Linked DNA regions of Saccharomyces cerevisiae S288C. The protein of the gene in region 3 interacts with the protein of the main gene of each other region in a pairwise test. Each region holds a gene or a part of one and is shown on either strand. Other genes may lie near its edges. The genes, in order: MGA1, CCM1, TYE7 and YAP6.

Region 1 (5,421 bases), on a different chromosome or scaffold from region 3:
GATAGATAAACAATTCACATGAATGTCAAAATTTTGAAAAACACTCATTATTCAAAAAGATTGCATAAAAAGATATACACTTAAAGTGCAAGATTATACCAACTTTCAGAATACGGAGAGGTTTTTAAGTGGATGAGCATTTTTTCATAACGTTCTAAAACGATATTTACAGTATTTGGTGGCTAAATGAAAAAAAGCCGTATCATGACTGTGCTAGAGAAAGTGTGGCAGTTACATAAATCAAAAGATACAATTTAGGTGCGGCCTCTATAGCCAATGCATGCTCACTGAATAGCACAACAAATTTTTGTTTGGCTAAAGCGATATCCTTTTCGACTTGCAGTTCCACTGCAAGTCGAGTATATTTCGGCAGACAATGTCATTCAAATATCTTGCCTACACTAAGAAATATGTCTCTCTTCTACAAATGTTCAAGTTAGGACATGCCGTAAATATGAAAATATTTGAGCAGATCAACCTTTCTAGAGTTTAAACATTGAAGTTTCCAATGGTCTGATACAAGCAAGCAATATGATTTAAAGAACTCCTTAATAACAACTGCTACAATTACTTTAGCTAGCTAGTACAGCAGGCAATAGGCATTTAACGCTTACACCTATTTTGCCTGTCTTTTTTTTTTTCTGACCTATTTTCGGCTCTTCTGCAGCTATTTTTCTTCATTTTTCCAATCCTAATCCGGAAAACTGAAGAAATTTACATCTTGGTGAATGCACTCTCCTCCGAACGCGTCTGAATAAATGATGTAACCTTAAAACTTTAAAAATAATGCGGATAACCTAAACAACCCTCTTAGATAAACATCAAGAAGTAACATGCTCATAAATACGTCTCGAATGATTCTAGTATTTAAAAAGCACGGAAGGAACGCCTTGAGAGGACGGAACAAGGCAATGGTTGCAGGCGATAAAGAATCAAGAGGCAACCCTCAAGCTTCCAGCCAGTGGAAGAAAACAGAGATGAAAGAAAAGGAGTGAAGTGCTTGCATAGAAGAGCAATACGTGGCAACAAAGTCCCGAACTTGCCTAAAAAAGCATAATTTAATTACATTTATTTAACTTTATTGCTCCTTCTTTCAAAAGTCGGAAGCGCGCGAGTAAAAAAAATTACAGAGCGAAGGAGAGGCGAAGGATAGATGGGGAACGAAATTATTGTTTTATTTTTCCTTTTTTGTTGGAATGTTAAGCGGATCCTTGCTAAAAGATCTGCTCTACTTTCTTACATTTGAAATTTTTAAAGTTTTCTCAAAAAAAAAAAAAAAATTGGAGAACAAGCGCAGCCGGAATGAAAAAGGCCATAATTTATGTTAAATTAATCATAAGAAAAATTGATAATAGCAAACATAGCTTGTGATTCTTTTTCTTTCGGTTTGTGAAATAATTGCATTCTTCCCCCTTGTATCTAGTATGCAAAAATATGGAGAATGTTCGTTCTTCCCTACGTTCACTGAATGTTCCTTGGTATCAACAGCGGTAACAGTTTGTTCAGTTGGATGCGATGTGTTCTGTTGAAAATAATTCAGTAAGATGCTGGTTTAGTGGCGACTTCACCTTTCGTGATTATAGGTATACTCTTGGGAATTATGCTGGACGTCAGAGAAGTTAAGGTCGATGATGTATTCGTAGTCTCTTGAAGGGGTAGGGCAGTTGTTTTAACAGATTGCATAGACATCCATTTACTTTCAAGTTGAATGATTTCCTCCTTGGAATTCTGTAATAGGGATAAGCTTGTTCGAAGGTCTTTGTTCATGGCATCATTAGTTAGAGTTTTATTTTCATCTTGCGATGCGCTGTTAATATGTTTTTCTATCAAATCAGTGATTGTTGATAGAGAGTTCTTTAAAGTTTGTATATGGTTATCCAAAGCTTGCCTTTCACTTATATTGCTTTTTTTGGGTAGTGTTACATTATTATTACAAACTCCTAAAGCAGGTGAGTTAGAAGCAGAGTTCGAAAGAGAGTTCATCATTGAGGGAAATGGAGTGGAGTAACTGCTATATGGCGGGACTGTAGGGAGCGGTTGCTGCTGCTGCTGCTGCTGCTGGGCAAAAGCTCCAGGATGATACGGCATTGGGTAATTAACAATTGGCAAGGAAGTTGTTTTCAGATCATCTGTCGAAGATAGTGTTCCTGATTTCTTCATCGGAGGTCCAGATAATGCTTGTGGAGAAAGTACTTGTTGCGGCTGCTGAGGCTGGACTATGCTATCTTGGGTGGAAAATTGATTGGGATAGTCATAAGAATTCATCATCCTCGCCGAGATGCTTTGCCTTCGCATCATGTTCACCGTGGGTTGTTGAGGGGGCAGTGAAGATATTAGGTAAGGTCCACTACTTTGTTGCTGTTGCGGTATACTGATATGTGGAGGACTTTGGGATGTTGAGTAATGGACGGGACTGCCCATAAACATGTTTGATGGTTCTCTTGCAGAAACTGGTCCGGATTGCTGAGAGAGAACATTTAACCTCGAAGCATCAACGTAACTGACAGATATTGGTGACAGTATATTCTTTCTTTTACCATCTTTTCCCACACCAGTGCTCTTTCTTTGGATTTTATTCAAGATACCGGCGTTGGCCTCTTTGAAGAAGAATCCAGATGGGTGGGTAAATTTCCATTCAACAAGTTCTTTAACGTTACCATTGTTGGCAGAAGATTGGTCTGGGGAAGGATGAGATAGTTTATGAAACCCGTACATGTGTAGTTGACGAACAAAACTATTGACATTTCCATGTTTGAAATAACGCTTCAGAACATGTGTACTAAAATTAGGGTCATATGGCTTCAAAAAAAATACCGTGTTATCAGTCGGAGACCAGTATATCCATTTATTTACTTCCGGTTCCAGAAGAATTGCATGAAGTTGGTGGACGAAAGTTTTAGGTTGCATGTGGCCACCGGTTCTCTGAGCTATTGTATTTTATGGCGTGGGTGAAAATTCAATATAGGGGTTACAGCTGCCTAACCTTAAAGCGTGTAAAGGAGATCTAGATCTTCTGCAATGATCAGCTACTACCAATATATATATATTGGAAAAAAAGGTAAGTAACGACGTATCAAGATAAAACCCCAAAGGAAGAAAGATGCAACCGAAAGGAAAGCATGGAAAACTTCGAGCTATTCACTACCTGATTACTTCAACGTTAATGAATACCCTAAACGTGATAAGTTTGTGCTTTTCCTTCGATATGGATATCTACTGCCTTCCATTTTCTGCTCTACGGGTCAACAACTGAAAGATTATTTTTTCGGTTCCTCCTTTTTCTTCTCGAAAAAAAGCTTAAATCTTTCAAAGACAAAAAAGAAAGATTGCACCAAATCAGCGCAGAAGGCAGCAACCAGAGAGACGGGGGCGCAGAGTCAACATCATATACGTAACAAGTTGTTCAGGGCGGATCGCTTCACGTCATACAAAGGCGCGGATATGCACTAATCTGCAAATCTCGCAGTCACCGTAAGCCCAAGCCAAAGCGAACCATCGGTGCTAAATCGGCCCGCCCGACTGAGACGCACAGATTCCTACGCAGGCTCTCCTTGTGCCGCCCACGGAGTATTCCGTTCACCCAAAAAAAAATAAAAAACGAAAGGGGCAGACCAGGGGCAGACCAAAGGAGGGGAATTACCGGCGTGGCTAATATTCCTTATTTTGCTTAGAGCACCTTCCGTTCCGCCGCCGCTGCTTCCTAATCTGGGGCCAGGAAACGTCTGCGGCGGGCCAGATTCATTCTCGAGCCAGGAGAACTGCGTAGCTTGCGATAAAGGGGCGAAATTAACCCTTCCATGCAGCTGGCCCGAAGCAATTTTATATTTCGTGTGCTCGCCAAAAAAAAAAACCCTGCTGCGTCCCTTATTCTATTTCCATGGAAATTTCCGTTAGCGCTGTTTTGCAGGTGGTTCCGAGTCATAGCATTAAGATTAACGCGTTGTAACGGTATCACCGGGTGAGCTATGTTTTTCTTTTAAGTTATGCAACCTTCGCGGAGGCTCGGTTGCTTACGGAACTTTTAAGGTTGAGTTTGCCTTCGGTACCCCTTTCCTTTCTGCTGTCAATTCTTCTAGAAGAACTGGGTTTATGCTTCGGGAGTAAGCTCCAACATACGCTGTAAAGAAGACAGTTGTCATTTATTTATTATTATGTAATGTAATTAAGGTTGTCTGTCGTGATTAACGGAGCCAGTTTCGTATAAAGACGAGTGTAATTAGCAGTTTTCAGGAATCAAGGCGCCAGCTTCGTCGTCGAGAAACCAAGTTACTTTGGTTCCGACCATTTCATTAACCAGCACACTAGGTAGTTCGCTATTTTTTACGATTAACACGTCATGCATGATAGCCTTTTTAGCAGCTCCCCTAACGAGAAAGCACACACTTTTAGCCTCGGCTACTACTGCTAATGTAAAGGTGATCCTGTCCTTGGGTGCCTTGGGCGAATTATTACACCATAAAACCTTGCGGTCCATCTCTTCTACAAGGTAATTAAATTCAACCCCGGGAAACAACGAGCATGTATGTCCATCTTCTCCGCATCCGAGTAAGATTAGGTCGAATGATGCAGGCAGCATGGAAGCGTATTCTTCGGCAATCTTTCTATTGGCCGTTTCACCGCCACCGATTAATGATTCGTTGATAGTGTATACAGTGGGGCCTAAGTTCAATTGGTTGCCCTGATGCACTAGCGGGTCCAAAACTGTTTTTTTGAACTGACCATAGTTACTTTGCGGATCCTCAAATGGAACCAATCTTTCGTCACAGAAGAAGATTCTCCATTGTGGCCACTTAATATGTGGAAAAATGTTTTTGTCATTTACCAAACTTTCGTACAGCGCTTGGTTCATCGATCCTCCACTGATGGCGATATTGAACACTGCATCAGCGTCGCCCGTTAACGCCGATTCTTGCTTTTCAAGGATAAACTTGCCGAATTCGTGTATGAGGCTTTTCTTTTCGCTAAACCTTTGTAATTTCACCATTTTTCTTGAGGTGGTTGTGGATTATTTGATGAATGGCATTCTTTGTTTGGAAAACTGCTGCGATAAGACTACGTTCTTCGTCATTTCTTAAATATTATGGATCTTACAATTTTCGCTGCTTAGGGGGGGATTTTTTTAATTTTCAAGGGATTTCCATCCCTTGCGAAGGCAAGCGATCAGTATACGTAAATCTCTAACTAGAACATTTTCAAGTATTGACAGATATGAAAAAAAAAAAAAAAAAAAAAATTCTATATAATTACTTACAGTGCACATAAATGTATGCTTAAACGTCCACCCGTCCCAATACCTCCCATTCTTGAACGGGCCCCACACAGTTGACCACTTTAAACGTTCCTGGGATATTCCAAGATAGCGATGAAGATACGTCAAAATCCCATCTCATTTGCACTTCATTGGACCCATCAGCGTTTCCG
Region 2 (6,731 bases), on a different chromosome or scaffold from region 3:
CTCATAATATACAAGGTAAAAGCAGGCGTATCTCAGTCATACAGTTCAATAGAGAAAGGCATTTTTGGAATATCATACATTTTATCTAGCAAGTGGAAACAGACTGTATATTCCCAAGAATCATCGCCTTTTTATCACAACGTCAGCCTCACAACTAATTCGCGTCAAAGCGCATTCATCCTCGACATTCTCAAACGCGAAATATCGTCGAAAAAGGTTAAAAAGAAAAGAGAGAAGGACAGAAAAAGAAAAAAGTAAAGTAGAGCTCGATCTCGAAAAAAAGAACCATTGCGTTCGTTCTTAACTACGCCAAGAAGTTTTTGAAATTTCATCCTCTCCACTGAACAATAATACTATTATTTAGTAACGATATAGAACATTTACATACAACGTTCTAATATTTTGGCTTCTATCATCGCTTAGAAATATTTGGCTAGGAAACATTAGGACTAATGAGAGACTATAAATTAGTAGTATTGGGTGCTGGTGGTGTCGGTAAATCCTGCTTAACCGTGCAGTTTGTACAGGGAGTTTATTTGGATACGTATGATCCAACGATCGAAGATTCTTACAGGAAAACCATCGAGATCGATAACAAGGTATTCGACCTGGAAATTTTAGATACAGCGGGTATAGCACAATTTACTGCAATGAGAGAATTATACATAAAGTCAGGAATGGGGTTCCTGTTGGTATATTCAGTAACAGATCGGCAATCTTTGGAAGAATTAATGGAGCTAAGAGAACAGGTCCTTAGGATCAAAGATTCCGATCGCGTTCCAATGGTTCTAATAGGTAACAAGGCTGATCTAATCAATGAAAGGGTAATAAGTGTGGAAGAAGGTATAGAGGTAAGCAGTAAATGGGGTAGAGTTCCCTTTTATGAAACAAGCGCTTTGTTGAGGAGCAATGTGGATGAAGTGTTCGTTGATTTAGTTAGGCAAATCATTCGGAATGAAATGGAAAGTGTTGCAGTTAAAGACGCAAGAAATCAAAGTCAACAATTTAGCAAAATCGAGTCTCCATCAACCAGGCTCCCTAGTTCTGCGAAACAGGATACGAAACAATCAAACAATAAGCAATCATCAAAAGGTTTATATAACAAATCTTCACAAGGACAAGCTAAAGTTAAACAATCTACTCCGGTTAATGAAAAGCACAAACCGTCACATGCCGTTCCGAAATCTGGTTCTAGCAACAGGACAGGAATTAGCGCTACTTCACAACAAAAGAAAAAGAAGAAAAACGCTTCCACTTGCACTATTCTATAGTCACTTAATTTTATTATAAATGAATCAAGATATCAGATAAAAAGACTTTACTTGAAATAGTTTTATTATAGTTCTAAAAGGTTTAGTTTAAAGTATTAGCATACGTTGTATAAGTTTTTAAAGAAATCAATTAATAATGTTTGAAAATAAATTTAAACCCAAAAAAAATGAAATGTTAAAAATATGGACGCAACCGGAATCGAACCGATGACCTCTTCCTTGCAAGGGAAGCGCGCTACCAACTGCGCCATGTGCCCGCAATCTATGGGATTTTACGGTAGATGCTGCGTTACGTATAAAAAATATTAAATGAACAGATCCACACTCTCGTAACTAAAGCTCACACTGTAGTTTCTTATAGTTTATGTTGATTGATATAATTAATTCAGAGGGTCTTTAGTCTCAGATATACTTCGCAATTACTTAAAAGAGTAATCGTTAATGTTTTCCCTCCAACATAGTCGTTATCGTTTAGCGTGCGTTATCAAGTTTCAACGATGACAAAATGATTGATTAATTAGTCCATTTTTCTTTCCTATCTAGTAAAATCAAAGTGTTTCTTCTCAACCTGAGATCTAACTCACTGTATTGATATTGAAAATCTGAGTAGTCTTCTAAAAAGCACAGAAATTAGGCCGATGTTTTCGACTTCATATCTCGTCGTGAGGCTGTTTCGCACGCCTTTTATTTGTTTAGATCGGACATTTAGGGTGATTCATATCAGGTCATATTGCGGCATCTCATCTCAAGAATAAAATAGAATTACTGTGTTTGACAATGGTCTATCGTCCACTGATGGAACAAAAGTCGGGAGCAATTCTTGTAAATGGAAGAATACAAAATGGCCACCAGTAGCGGTGAAAATGGTTTAGTAGTCATCCCTCCTTTAATACGAAACATTCAGTGGGTCTCCGTGAACGTCTCTATTCTATTTTCGATAATCGATCCACTGACTCTCAGGCGCTTCTTATATTATCTTTCTCGATATTATAAATCAGCCGATACAGGGTTACACCAAGTGTCTTTACATAATCCTGACTATCATGACCTACTTCCAATCTTATCATCTAAATGACTGTACATTCGTTCTTCTCTCATAATGCTTGCTTGCTTGTGAAAAATGGGTGAATAATTGCATTATTGTTGGGATTCCACTGTTGATAAAGATCACATATAACATTATGGATAAGGAATATACTAGAAACTCTCCTCCAGAACATAGCGCCCACAAAAGGGAATCGATATCTCTACATAATGCTATTATTTTTTCTTCCTTGTCGCACATTATCTTACTTCATCATCAATCCTCGTGTCTCTGCTTACATTAAGTTTGATGACCGTTTCTCAATCTTTATGACATCTTCTTACACAGTGTATTGCAAAGTACTAGTAATATGAATTCAAATCGATCGATGGTAACTGATTCTTATTGCAAAAGATCTGCCTTGCTCTAACCTTTTTTCTGAGATAGAGAGTTAGCTCTACTTCCACACCAATATCTGAGCGTCGGACAGGATTGTGAAAAATTGGAGGCATAAAATGTAAAAGCAAAGCCATAGTCCATAGTGCACAGGAAAATAGCATTGTTTCACAAGTCCTAACAGATAGATAAATATAAACATGTACATGGCCAGATGTGGCCCCAAGAATAATGTGCTGTGTTTCCCATTTCAACTTTCCTTTCTATTTTCAAAACGACTAATAAATAAGCGTTTCAAGTATACCCTACAAACTGAAGATGAAAAGAATATGATGGGGAGTTTAAGTAAAAATAAAATAATAACACCTGAAGACGTTGAGTTCAAATTAGCACAATTACGAGAATTTTCTAATACTTTAAAAGAACGCATTCACAACACTAAATCGGTGAATTCAGATGGCCACCAAAGCAATAGTATCGCACCAATCTCAGAAGACTCAAGGAATGTTAATGTCACCAAAACATCATCTGTTCCTAATGAAGAAAAATCCAAAAATCTATCAGATTTGATTCATTCTTCGTTTTTAGAAAAAATGGATCACCTCGTACCAAAAGTTATAAGAGAAAGAGTAGCAGACGACGACATACTTGCAAAAAACCTTTTTGATAGATCACACAGTAATTGGGCACCTGTCATAGATAGGCTTTATGTCAGTGAGAAACGGTTCATGGATATTGATTCCAGAGAATTTTCTGTTTGGTTAAATGGTACAGTCAAATATTTGCCATTTCATAGTATACTACACTTGGATGAAATGCTATTAGAACAAATCAATGGAGATGTTGTAAAATTTAATACCCACATGTACGAATGTATCTTTAACAACTTAGGAAATTTAAAACCAACTAATTTTAATCAGGATGGTACTAACGATAAAGTTATCCTCAAAATGAAAGAGTTGTTAGAGAGGTATGATAAGGCATTAAAAATAACTGAAGAAAGAATTAACAAAAAAGAAGGATTCCCTTCCAAAGTACCAAAGATGACGCAAGCAATACTTAATAATTGTTTAAAATACTCGACCAAGTGTTCAAGCTTTCACGACATGGATTATTTTATTACAAAATTCAGAGATGATTATGGCATAACTCCTAATAAGCAAAACCTAACTACTGTAATACAATTCTACTCTAGGAAGGAAATGACTAAGCAAGCCTGGAATACTTTTGACACCATGAAATTTTTATCTACAAAGCATTTCCCTGATATCTGCACATATAACACAATGCTGCGAATATGCGAGAAGGAACGGAATTTTCCTAAGGCTTTGGATTTATTTCAAGAAATTCAAGACCACAATATAAAGCCTACAACAAACACTTACATAATGATGGCAAGAGTGTTGGCTTCTTCGAGCAGTAATGCCGTTGTCAGTGAGGGTAAATCAGACTCTCTAAGATTACTGGGATGGAAATACCTTCATGAGTTGGAGGACAAGAATCTTTACAGACATAAAAAAGATGACTTAAATTTATTTTTGGCTATGATGGCATTAGCCGCGTTTGATGGTGATATTGAATTAAGTAGAGCTCTATATTACTTGTTCATCGCGAAAAAGTACAAAACTTTGTGCGCAAATTGGAAAGGAAACATTCTCGTAGATCAAGATACAATTTGGAAGTCAACTTTAATGCCAGAAATGCTGAATTATTTGATGCTTGCTTATGCAAGATTTGATCCCAGAAATTTGCCAGTCTTATCCGGTTATGAAAAAGGCATTGAATTGAGAAGAAAATTTCTTCGCGAATTTGATTCCTCCATGAGGTTAGATGATACAGACAAATTGGTCAAATTTAAATTACCATTTCTTCCAATTAGTGACCTAAATTCGGAGGCACAAGTATTGGCGGAATCTAACGCAATCTGGAGTTTCAATATGGAAAATGGAGGAACGCGCAATACATTGACATCTTCAAATGAAGCGGCGTTGGAGGATATCAAAAAATATAGGCAATTACTTGATTCGTTTGCGCAAGAAGCAGAGGATTTCAACGAGTTTAAGTTTAAAGTTATGTACGAAGTGACGAAAATGCAAAGAGAAAGTATTAATGTGAACGTCTTCAATAAAATTTCACTACACACATATTTGTCAATTCCCATTAACTTAAAACAACAGAAGGAATTCTTGCGAAGGTTGACGTTCTTCACTTTCCAACAACACGAATTTGAAGCTGTCATAAAGCGTTTGTATGAAGGATACCGTAATATTCCTTCGTCCCATACGCGTGACCAAAATTCAATATCAACTGAAGCCATCTCAGTATCCAAACCTGAGACCACGGAAGACCTCAACTTAATAATGCATGATATATGGTATATTACATGTTTGAGGCACAAAATCATGATGGACACCACGTTATATGAGCTGGTGATGAAAGCCGCTATAGAATTTCAAAATGAGGACTTAGCAAAGAAAGTATGGAATGATAGGGGTAAATTTAGGACGACTGTACCGTTTCTGAAAATGGACCAAAGAATAAGAATAGCAAAGGATCAGAAATTTGCCCATCTAATGGTTGAATTCTTCACAAAGCAAGGAAAGTATTCGGACGCAATAGCTATCATATTGTCTTCAAAAAATCGCTTCAATTGGACTTATTCCATGGTTAGGAATTTGCATAAAGCATTAGAAGAAATCGAGGATAGAAATAGCGTTGAAATCTTACTGGATGTAGTAAACAAAAAGTCACACGCAAAGGCCCTGAAGTGGGAGGAACAAGAACTTAACATGTAGTCATTAGACTAAAAGTGATTATATATCAAGAAACGACATATACGCGTCCATGCATGCACATATATATATATAGTAAAGCGCCTGTAAATAAAAGCTCTCAAAGTTAACAGATAAATGAAGTGAACTATCTTAATCACTCTTTGAGGATACACTTGAAGAGTCGTCAAAATCTTCGTCACGGTTGACATTCAAGTAATCCTTATCATTCACGGAGGCATCAGATATGACTGCATCAGAATCAGGCTGTAACTTTTGTTGTAAATTCTCAACTTCAAGACGTAATCTATCAACTTCTTTTTCGAAATTCTTCCCGTAGTGGTCGATATAGTAGGTAGCCCCATTATGAGACGCCCATAGAAATACTATAGTTAAAAATAGGGCCGCAGCTAATTTGTAACGAATCCATATGCCACACAATAGCATAGTGAATAGTTGATAGAAATATTGAGAAAGTGTGTAAATTATCATCGGCCAAGGTGACCTTAATTTAACTGCCCAAAAGTTTTTAAATTGGTGTGTGGTTAAATATTCAAAACTTGTCATTCTTTCCCCTGACTTGATCTTGCTAGACTTTTTCAACGTGATGAAGTAATGGTATAATGATTGCCAAACCAAATAATAAAGGGATGTCCAAAGAATATTTTTTTTGATGTCCAATTCACTTTGAATAATTGCTCCCGGAAACCTTTCGATTTTGTATTCGAGTGGTAATCCATGATAGATGACGTACATGACACAGGGAGGTATTATGTGAATGAAGCATGAAGTAGTCTTATCTATAGAATGTATTACCAAGGAATTTCTCCAAGTAATAACGGCAAAGCATAACGTTCCGAAAGTGAATGCAAAACATGACTGGAAAAGGCTGTATGAATATGGGAAAATCCAAATAAACAATAGGCATAGCATGTTCACAAAGTAACAAAAATCAGCCAGAAAGTAGTGGTTTTTGGTTTTATAGTATGTGTAAAAACGTATGGGCATCAGAACGAAGAACAGGATGGTATAGTAAACATGAAACCATTCTGGAAACCTGCCCATCAAAAATCCGATGAAAAATATATTAAACAGTGTGAAAGGGTAAAATGCTTTCTCCAACCTTGAGCTGTTTTTGAAAAAAATGGAATCCAAGGGTTTATCCAGATTCCTAATTCTTTGTAACGCTCTTACTTTGAAGTCCTCTAATTGCAAGAAAGAGCGACTTCTATTCAGGTGATGTGGATGATGACTATCATGTTCATGATG
Region 3 (4,613 bases):
GAATTGAACCCAGGGCCTCTCGCATGCTTTGTTCCTCCTGTTTGATCAGGGGGATCGCCCAAAGCGAGAATCATTCCACTAGACCACACGCCCATACAATTTGTGATTTCTCAAAGTTCAAGATGAAGTATTATAATTTTATATTCATTTTCCTCAGTCCCAAAAACGAATGGTTGAAGAGAACTGTTGGAATAAAAATCCACTATCGTCTATCAACTAATAGTTATACTATCAATATATTATCATATACGGTGTTAAGATGATGACACAAGTTATGAGAAGCTGTCATCGAAGTTAGAGGAAGCTGAAGTGCAAGGATTGATAATGTAATAGGATAATGAAACATATAAAACGGAATGAGGAATAATCGTAATATTGGTATATAGAAATATAGATTCCATTATGGGGATTCCTAGACCCTCGAGGAGAACTTCTAGTATATTCTGTATACCTAATATTATAGCCTTTATCAACAATGGAATCCCAACAATTATCTCAACATTCACCCATTTCTCAAGAACATTGTTGAAATGTAGCGCAATAAGTGGTGATTGATACCAACGTTTGCTGCTACGTTAGCAACCTAAACGCTTACACCAAATGTTTAAATTAGTATACTTTTCGAAAATTCGGTGGATATTAGAATAATTTTTAAGATCCTATTGATGATTAAAGCTATAATTGGGTAAAATAAGCATATTCTTGAAGTTCATTACTAAGATATAGAAATCAAGGAAAGGAAACCGATATTTCTACGTAACATTTATTATTTTTCCTTGCATTTTGTGTCGCGTTCTCTTTTATTTCTTTACATTATCAGTCCTTGTATTGCGGCATCCACTAAATCTGATGATTGTTTCTTAATTCCCATGTCATCTTTTTACACAGTATATAATAATATGCTGAATTATACGATATCAAATTTCTTTGGGTGCGATGTAGATGATTCAAATACTCAATAATTATGCATGAAAGAAATCCATTATTCTTGGCAGGAATGCCTCAGGGAATATGGGACCATGACAAGAGGCAACTTAATAGGCATTTACAACCTTTTGATTGAATAATCTAACTATGGGATATAAAGAAGCCTCTAAAAAATTAAATGCCGATAACCTTGATGATTTTCGTATGCTTATTTAATGCGGCTCCCGTCAGCGCCCTGCCGGGTAATATGATTCCCTTTCCAAGTAAGAAGAGCGACAGATAAGCGCGCTTGTATTCATCATACTGCCGCTATGCTGCTTTTCAGTCTGAAAATCGGATGTAATCTGAAAAGCGGATCTGTATTACGATATGATATGGGCAGCCTTTGTGGGTACGATGTCTAGAATTGAAACATTTTTTAATTATATTAATCTTATCGTTTACTTTTTCACATTCTTATCAGTAGGGCGAAACACTAAGAAAAGAGGAACCTCTTTGCGGCTTACGTAAAAAATGCACTAGCCATGTTTGGCACGTTCCCTGCTTGAACTGACATTAGGGGTCGAGCACGAGAGAAAGCCTATTGCCATCACGTGGCAAGCCAGCAATGATCAATTAACAACGCTAAAATCGGCGTATATGCAATGCCAATCCTACGATACTGTTGAAGTAAGGGGGAGGGCGCTAATACGACTCAGACTGACATGCCCTAGTTGTGCTACAAAATTGTCGTTTATGTTACAAACACGTGTAAGATAGTAAAATACCCTTCTTGGACATTCTATTATGCCAAAGCAAAAAAAAATCGGTGAAATAAACCTGTCTCAGTCTGGTTTAGGAAAAGAGACATCACCACACCATGCCAAATGCGGCAACTTCCTTAAACCGCGGTGTCGTAGAACCCATTCATCCTTGTGTATACGCTATGCTGGGCGGTACTTACCGGATCTGGCAGGCACCACATGGGTAGAGAATAAATGACGCACGCATCTGAATGTTACACCCAGAGGTATCCCGGAAAATCTTCCTTTTGAAACCGGAACAAGCTGACCTTGACTTTCACCCGCGGATACTGCTTAGCCCAGTTCCGGCCGTACACAAGCCCTTCTGGAGTGGGATTGAGCTCACTTCATTGCGCTGTTACTCCCCTAACAACGTGGCCTCTCTCCATTCGGTAAGGAATCAAATTTTGTTCTAGAATGTTCATGCTGCTGCGGTCATTTCTTACCCTAGTAGTAATTCATTGTGCCCACGTACGAACCGTACAATGGGATTCTGCCCTGCGCACGTTCACAGTTCGCCAAATAACAATTCTCATTTTCATTTCTTTTTCACAGTGTAGATGATACCGTGTCTGCGACATTTCCATTCTTAGTAGAAATGCAAAACGCAACGTTTGCTATTAATTTTTTTCACCTCTGTTTCCTTTTTTTTTCTCACCTCAACAATCAAATGTACTTATATAAACTTCTTTTGTTATCTCCAAAATTTAAACTTATTTACATCCTTTTTCACTTCATATATCAATTCATGGGAAAGTAAAGCTATCTTAATTACATCCTTATTTTATATTTCCCAACCATCAACCTTTATTCTTTACATATTTCTCTCTTTTCTCATTTTCTTTCTTATTAAGCGTAAAGCACCACAAGCAGTACCGATCTAAAGTCTCTCTACTTTACTATTATTTTTTTTTTTTGTTCACTTCATAAACTTTTAGTGCAAAAATAAAAATAAAGACAAATAACACACTATCAAATCTCTTCAAGTTTAACAATTATGAACTCTATTTTAGACAGAAATGTTAGATCTAGCGAAACTACTTTAATTAAACCTGAATCTGAATTTGATAATTGGTTGTCGGATGAAAATGACGGAGCTAGTCATATCAACGTCAACAAGGACTCCTCGTCAGTTCTTTCTGCATCTTCTTCCACATGGTTCGAACCATTGGAAAACATTATCTCCTCTGCATCCAGCTCCTCGATAGGCTCTCCAATCGAAGACCAGTTTATATCTTCCAACAACGAGGAATCTGCTCTTTTTCCAACAGATCAGTTTTTCAGTAATCCTTCCTCATACTCGCATTCTCCCGAGGTTAGCAGCTCGATAAAAAGAGAAGAGGATGACAATGCCCTTTCGTTGGCAGATTTTGAACCGGCTTCTTTGCAATTAATGCCTAACATGATAAATACTGATAATAATGACGATAGTACCCCACTTAAGAATGAAATCGAGCTAAACGACTCGTTTATAAAAACAAATCTAGATGCTAAGGAAACGAAAAAGAGGGCTCCAAGAAAAAGACTGACCCCCTTCCAAAAGCAAGCTCACAACAAGATTGAAAAACGCTACAGAATAAACATCAACACAAAGATTGCAAGACTGCAGCAGATTATCCCATGGGTAGCAAGTGAACAAACAGCTTTCGAAGTAGGTGATTCTGTAAAAAAACAGGACGAAGACGGCGCAGAAACTGCCGCTACTACTCCTCTTCCATCTGCCGCTGCTACAAGCACGAAGCTAAATAAAAGCATGATCCTAGAAAAAGCTGTTGACTATATTCTATATCTACAAAATAACGAACGACTATACGAAATGGAAGTTCAAAGGTTGAAAAGTGAAATCGACACTTTGAAACAAGACCAAAAATAAAAGCACGCTTGCTTAAACACCAATATTATAAAATTACGATAGAAATTCCTTTCTCCTCTTTTGTTTATGCGACATTTTTTTCTTTCTTAGCGAAGTACTTTAAAAAACAAGCCCAAAAAATAACAAGGCCATAACATAGCAGACAAGAATACAAAAAAAAAAAAGAAGTTGGAAAAAACATACAAAAAGATAAAAAAAAAAAATCCCCACTAAAGAAGGATGATAAATCGTGATGCGCACTTTTCATACCTTTTTCTTTTCTATTTCGTATTATTCAAAAAAAATTCTAATTTTATTCCTCCTTTATACACATTAATGACGCGTGGTTCATAGCCAAGAAAGCACAAGACATGACGAAATTCCGTTTCAGCTACGGACGGATATGTATGCCAAAACCGAAAAAATAAAAAAAAATCAATTTTTTTTATTTCAACAAACACATACACCTTAATGATTTATACGAACGAACTCTTCTCAAACTTTTCTCATTTATTTTATTTTATTATCTTATTACGGCCTTTTCTATTCATTACATTCACAACCCGTTATTATGTCACGCCATAACTAAACTAAGTACGAAACATATATTTACAGCATTATATTCTTAAAGAAGTTTTTTGGGCTTTTTGTATTCCCCCCTCTGATTGACGACAATTTGTTCGAAGCGAGATATTGGGCTGTCATATTAGCAAAAAAATATTGCTCCAGGGGAGGTTCGAACTCTCGACCTTCAGATTATGAGACTGACGCTCTTCCTACTGAGCTACTGAAGCGCACAAAATATCAAACGTGTTGTATTACGGGCTCGAGTAATACCAGATTCCTTGAAGTCTTGATATAAGCAGTTTTCGGAATTTCTAGTATATTCCTTATACATAATATTAAAGCTATCAGCAATGGAATCCCAACAATTATCTCAAATTCAACCAATTCTTACGAGTATGACTGTGTGGAGAATGTGGATTTTGATGTAATTGTTGGGATTCCATTGTGATTAAGGCTATAATATTAGGTATGTAGATATACTAGAA
Region 4 (4,983 bases), on a different chromosome or scaffold from region 3:
CAAATAGATCTTTTACACTGTACAATAGTGTATATTCGTGGAGTACTTCGCCTTAATAGTTGCGTTCTCTGTAAATATTTTTGTATTGGTGCTTTTGTAGCTTGTCTTAACATATTTAACCTTGAAAGATTTTCACTCGCTTGTTTCAGGGTTCCTGGAATAGATAATAGAAGTCAAACTTTTCATGCTTACATATGCATATATATGTATATATATGTGTGTGCGTGAGTCAGTAACTAGGGGGTTTGATGAGCTTAGATACAATGAATCACAGGGGTTTATTCAAAAAAAAAAGTCCGTGCACCCCCTATTCAAACGCGATGCCATTAGATGAAAGAACACTTCTAGAACATTCTGGAAAATAACAAATTTTATCAGAACAGAATCACACCTTGATTTGTCTGTTACATTAATTATTAAAATTTATATGACCTATAAGGCCAAAGCAAAAAGTTGATCTTCCAGTACTAGAGATCAATATCTGCTCCCTATTTATTGTATTACGTGGCACTATCCGAGTGTCTCCCTACTATTTCCTCCAGGGATCTTATTTTTTTTTTTAGTTGCTCTATTTCATCTCGTTGTTCTTGTTCCTTTCTTTTAGTATTTTCAATATCCTCGATCATTCGTATATATTCAGCGTGGAAGCGTTTATTCTCAAGTTTTAGGTTTTCATTTTCATTTCTTGACATGTTGTGTTCATTTTTTATTATACTATTCTCATTCTTCAACATGTTGTTTTCGTTACATAAGACATCATACTCACTTCTTAACATAGTAATTGCATTCCTTATAGCTTCATGCTGAGCTATTAAAATGTTGTTGTCATTTCTTAATGAATCGTTTAATGATTTGAAGTTATTATTTTCTGCTAGTAAATCGTCAAATATCTTTGATTTTTGTTCGAGATTCTTGATGTATTTTTCTTTCCTTTGTCTAAATGCCTTTTGAGCGGTTCTATTTTGAGCAGCTCTTCTAGTATTTCTTAAAGTTTTGCCTGAACTACTTATGAGTTGGGTGTCTTTATCAGGAACAGGTTTGGTTACATTATCATTATTATCATTATTATCAGCTGAATTTTTAGCGGTATCAGCACTGTTTTGAAAAGAAGGAGGTGCAGTAGTAACACTGGTATTGCGAGATGGGAGGGTTGATAGTTGCTCCTCTGCAATATACTCCTTATTCAAAGATATGCTCTGGTTCGGAAGTCCATTTGGTAAAGGGGGATTTATTTGATAAGGTGCATAAGATATGGAATAACTTTTAGGGGGGAATACCACGGAAGGTTGAATACTAACATGAGCATTTTGAGGTCTGTTGTAAGAAGCTGATTGTTTTCTTTCATTTGAATGCGGAGGGATGATATAAGATGGATGTATAGGACTTTGATGCATCGATCTATAGTCAGACGGACCAGATAGATGCATCAAGTTTGGCAAAGGAGGCTGGATAGGATTGCTGTTAACAGATATGTCGGTGTCCCCATTAGTGGTTGTAGGATTTATTCTATAAGGTAACTTTTGGGACGTGCTGGGCTGTGCAATTTGCGGAGAAGGATGCTCATTTAGATTCTTCTCAGAGGCATTATAAGTAGCCATTGAGCTGCTTCCCTGATTATACATATCGGGACGAATCAACGGAGGGTTTTGCATTTGTCCCTTAGCACTCTTCGTTATTCTGTTGTTTATTGAAATTTCTAGACAAAAGTATATGCTATCGGATTCACGATTGGTGGGGAAAAAAACTCGGTGTTACAGTTTGAGGAAAGATTGTGTTTAATATTGGTTCTGTAGTACACTCCACAATCTCTCAACTCGCATTGCTTTCCAAAGATAGTCTACTCTCGATACTACAAGGCTCCACTAACTGTGTTAACAAAATAAACAAAAAAAGAGATTCTCCAGAAATTAAAAACTTGAGAATAAAAAAAGAAATCAAAAGGAAAAGAAGCAGGGCCAAGAAATACTTAATTAGCGTTTCAAATGCAGAAAAAAGTATGACAGAATGGAATCAAAGAGTATCAGAAATCATTAAAAAGTAATAGTTTACATTTGCCTGCAAACGATTCGAAAAACTTTTATCCACATGCAGTAAAAATAAGTGCAAGACTATGTTTAAAATTACAAAGAAAGCATAATCTTGAACAAAGTTTCTACCCTTCGGCATAATGCAAAGGGGCATTAGCTAAAAAAACAAAAACGGGTACGCTCTTTCTTAAATTCGCTATTACAATTCCGCAGATGCAGCAAGCAGCGAATAACTTTAACTTAAATGAAGTACGGAAAAAAAATTTAACATGCTATAAATCAGCCCATATAAACACCGCCTATCCCCCGCCGAAAAACTAGCCGGATCTATCTAAAGCGCCAAAAATCATTTCGCCGGAAACAAACCGAGAAAAAAATGCCTTTCTCGAAAGTAAACAAAGCAGTACAACTGTTTTGGGTGTTATTTTGTTCCGTGGATTTTACGCCACTGTTTTGCTTTAAAAAAATTTCTCACACAATAGTCTAGTCTCAACGGCTGTGCATAGTACCCATACACCACAATTTCTGACTAATGATCAGCATATACGTCACGTTCTGCTCATCGTGACTGTGGGAGAGCCAGTTCGTGCCAACCGTTATTTCTTGCGTACGCCAATTGTGTGATGCGCCTATCAAAAATAGAACCAGTTATCGTTTCTTTTCTTGGCTCATTGGCACCGTCGTTCCTGGAATTGGTTCCCCCGTTTAAAGAATGATCGAACGCCTGTCCAGCAAACGTCACTACTCCATTACTCTCCAGTTCCATGCCATTGAATAGATTCCAATCGTCTTCATCATGAAAAGAGTTCCAGTAGCGGTTGCTATTTTGTTCACTTGTCATTAATGCCTTACCTTGAGCGCTCTCGCGTACATTAGAATTCCTTTCCCCATCTTGGGGAGCTCTTCCCTCCTCCGCGTCGGTGCGAGTATTATCTTTCATAGCCATTGTAATATTTGCCACTTCGTCCGGAAGCGCCAGTATATCTTGATTCCATTCCGCATATAATATGTGATGTGGTGCTGGTAAATGGCGGTATTGAAAATATGAATCCCTATAAGAACTTGAACTCATAATCGTGGTTGTTATACTTTGCTCACCCCACTTCTCTGATATTATTCTCCCTTCTCTCACGATACAGCTAGGCCACGGCACAAATATGATGTAGTACTAAGATTTTTTTTTTTGAGGTTGCAATTCAGATTGTTGTCTTTTTCTACGACATGCATAGAAGTATATCATATGATATTTCGAACTTTGGGTGCTTTTCTACATAGTGCCTACGTTCTGAGTATCTATAATAATATAATGAAAAGTGTATATATAATTAGCACCATTAAACGCACCACACTGTTGCCGTTTACTTTAAAGAGAAGCGCAAAGAGCGGCAATGGTGATAGCGAGTGCGCATACGCTCGCTTTCCAGGTCAAACTCATATTTTTGATTGGTAATAGCTGCGAAGTTGTTAGTTTATTAGAAATTGCAGCATTCTTACTCTTCCTGGAAGTCGTAGTGGAGGACAAAACCGATGACGTTGTTCTTGGAAATGCCTGTGCTGATAAAGAGGATGAGAATTTTTCTTCGATAGATCCATCTGCTTTGAAGTACGTGTAGTTGTCGAAAGGGGAAGGGAAAAGGTTAGCTTCTTTTAGCTTCAAATAATCCCATTCTACGGCGTCTTCGGTCTTCCAATTCCAAAAAATCCATCCCGTTGTTTTTGACGAATAAGTGGCTAGCTGTGCCTCAATGAATTGTCTCACACGGTCACGGTAATCTTGCGTCCAATCAGCTAAGCTATTTTGGGATATACATGTTCCAACTGGCTTGTCGTTGGTGGTAAACAACGTTGTATTGTAGTATGATCCATCGTAACGTGCACCCACCCCAACACCATTTAGCCAGGTTGCACAATCAGTAATAGCGCCTGACCATTCTCCGACTACTGCTGGGTGAAAAGAAAGTTCTTTGTGGATAGAGTCCCCATAATTGATAATGTTTTCAATACGTGCAAACTGAGTTTCGGCCAATTGCGCATCAGTAAACACTTCATAATGATGATGGTCGACCAATATATCTTGAGAGCTGTAATTTGCACCAGTCAAATTGAAATAATGATGCGATACATTCTGGTAGGTTGGGTTTAGCTCCAAGTTCCAGTGACCGATTCCTTGAAAACCGTCATGAATAACAAACGTAGTGTTGTCACTCGAATTCTGATTTTTCTTGAGCAAGTCAAATGCTTCGTAATACATCTCCGTTATGTCTGAAACATCGATTTTGCCACCAAGCGGTTCGTTGACGATTTGAATACCCACCACAGGACTTTTGTCACCTTTATTTAAAAATGTCTGGAACATATCTCTCCAAATAGCCAGAGTCAGTTCTTTAGTATTATTCAACCTTAACCAGCCTAAATCGCCATAGAGTATTCTTTCACCGGAATTATCGAATCCATTCTGGGATCCAGGAGCACCATGTAGATCTAACCATACATTTAGTTCGTACTTTTGCGCCCATTCGAGAGCATTATTTAAATATTTCAGTTGTAATCCATCACTTACGTATGGATCATTGAAAGTTATGTTATCGATGTACAAGTTTTTATCAGTATTTTGTTTCCACGCCCAATATCCGATGGGGATCCTAACTAAATTGAAACCGTTGGTTTTGATTTGTTCAAAATCATCCTCTGTAATCCAAGTTTTGAAGTGATTATCCAATAAAGTTAGAGAGGTGTTATATCCTAAGGTTTTACAAAGAGTAAATTCGTCGACAATGGAGATATTGCTGGAAGAGTTTTGCTGTTTTGCCAGTGACGTAGCATTACGATATAATGATGGCGTGATATAAGGTTCTGTTACTAGCCAGCCGCCAATAGTAATACCTTTCACGGTGATAGTGTCGTTTGCATAGTAGGAGGCGAATTTGTTTTGTAAAATATTTAGTTCCAAAGGCGA

The links.
Region 1: the proteins of TYE7 (region 3) and MGA1 interact in a two-hybrid assay, tested with the Saccharomyces cerevisiae proteins (one large-scale study listed by BioGRID).
Region 2: the proteins of TYE7 (region 3) and CCM1 interact in a two-hybrid assay, tested with the Saccharomyces cerevisiae proteins (one large-scale study listed by BioGRID).
Region 4: the proteins of TYE7 (region 3) and YAP6 interact in a two-hybrid assay, tested with the Saccharomyces cerevisiae proteins (one large-scale study listed by BioGRID).

Annotation. Positions count from the first base shown.
Region 1 is NC_001139.9:985,535-990,955, reverse strand, and holds MGA1 (Mga1p), read right to left. Parts: upstream 2,908-5,421; coding exon 1,537-2,907; downstream 1-1,536. Other genes in the region: 6-phosphogluconolactonase SOL4, read right to left, coding at 4,217-4,984; CPD1 (2',3'-cyclic-nucleotide 3'-phosphodiesterase), read right to left, coding at 5,271-5,421.
Region 2 is NC_001139.9:789,214-795,944, reverse strand, and holds CCM1 (Ccm1p), read left to right. Parts: upstream 1-2,891; coding exon 2,892-5,486; downstream 5,487-6,731. Other genes in the region: Ras family GTPase RSR1, read left to right, coding at 453-1,271; GPC1 (glycerophosphocholine acyltransferase), read right to left, coding at 5,616-6,731. UniProt on the Saccharomyces cerevisiae protein: Regulates mitochondrial small subunit maturation by controlling 15S rRNA 5'-end processing. Localizes to the 5' precursor of the 15S rRNA in a position that is subsequently occupied by mS47 in the mature yeast mtSSU.
Region 3 is NC_001147.6:976,163-980,775, reverse strand, and holds TYE7 (Tye7p), read left to right. Parts: upstream 1-2,706; coding exon 2,707-3,582; downstream 3,583-4,613. UniProt on the Saccharomyces cerevisiae protein: Transcriptional activator of glycolytic gene expression, such as enolase genes (ENO1 and ENO2), glyceraldehyde-3-phosphate dehydrogenase gene (TDH), phosphoglycerate kinase (PGK1), phosphoglycerate mutase (PGM1), pyruvate kinase (PYK1) and triosephosphate isomerase (TPI1) genes.
Region 4 is NC_001136.10:974,131-979,113, forward strand, and holds YAP6 (Yap6p), read right to left. Parts: upstream 1,653-4,983; coding exon 501-1,652; downstream 1-500. Other genes in the region: chaperone ATPase HSP78, read right to left, coding at 1-113; SWM1 (Swm1p), read right to left, coding at 2,587-3,099; EXG2 (glucan exo-1,3-beta-glucosidase), read right to left, coding at 3,391-4,983. UniProt on the Saccharomyces cerevisiae protein: Transcription activator involved in the regulation of genes expressed in response to environmental changes and metabolic requirements.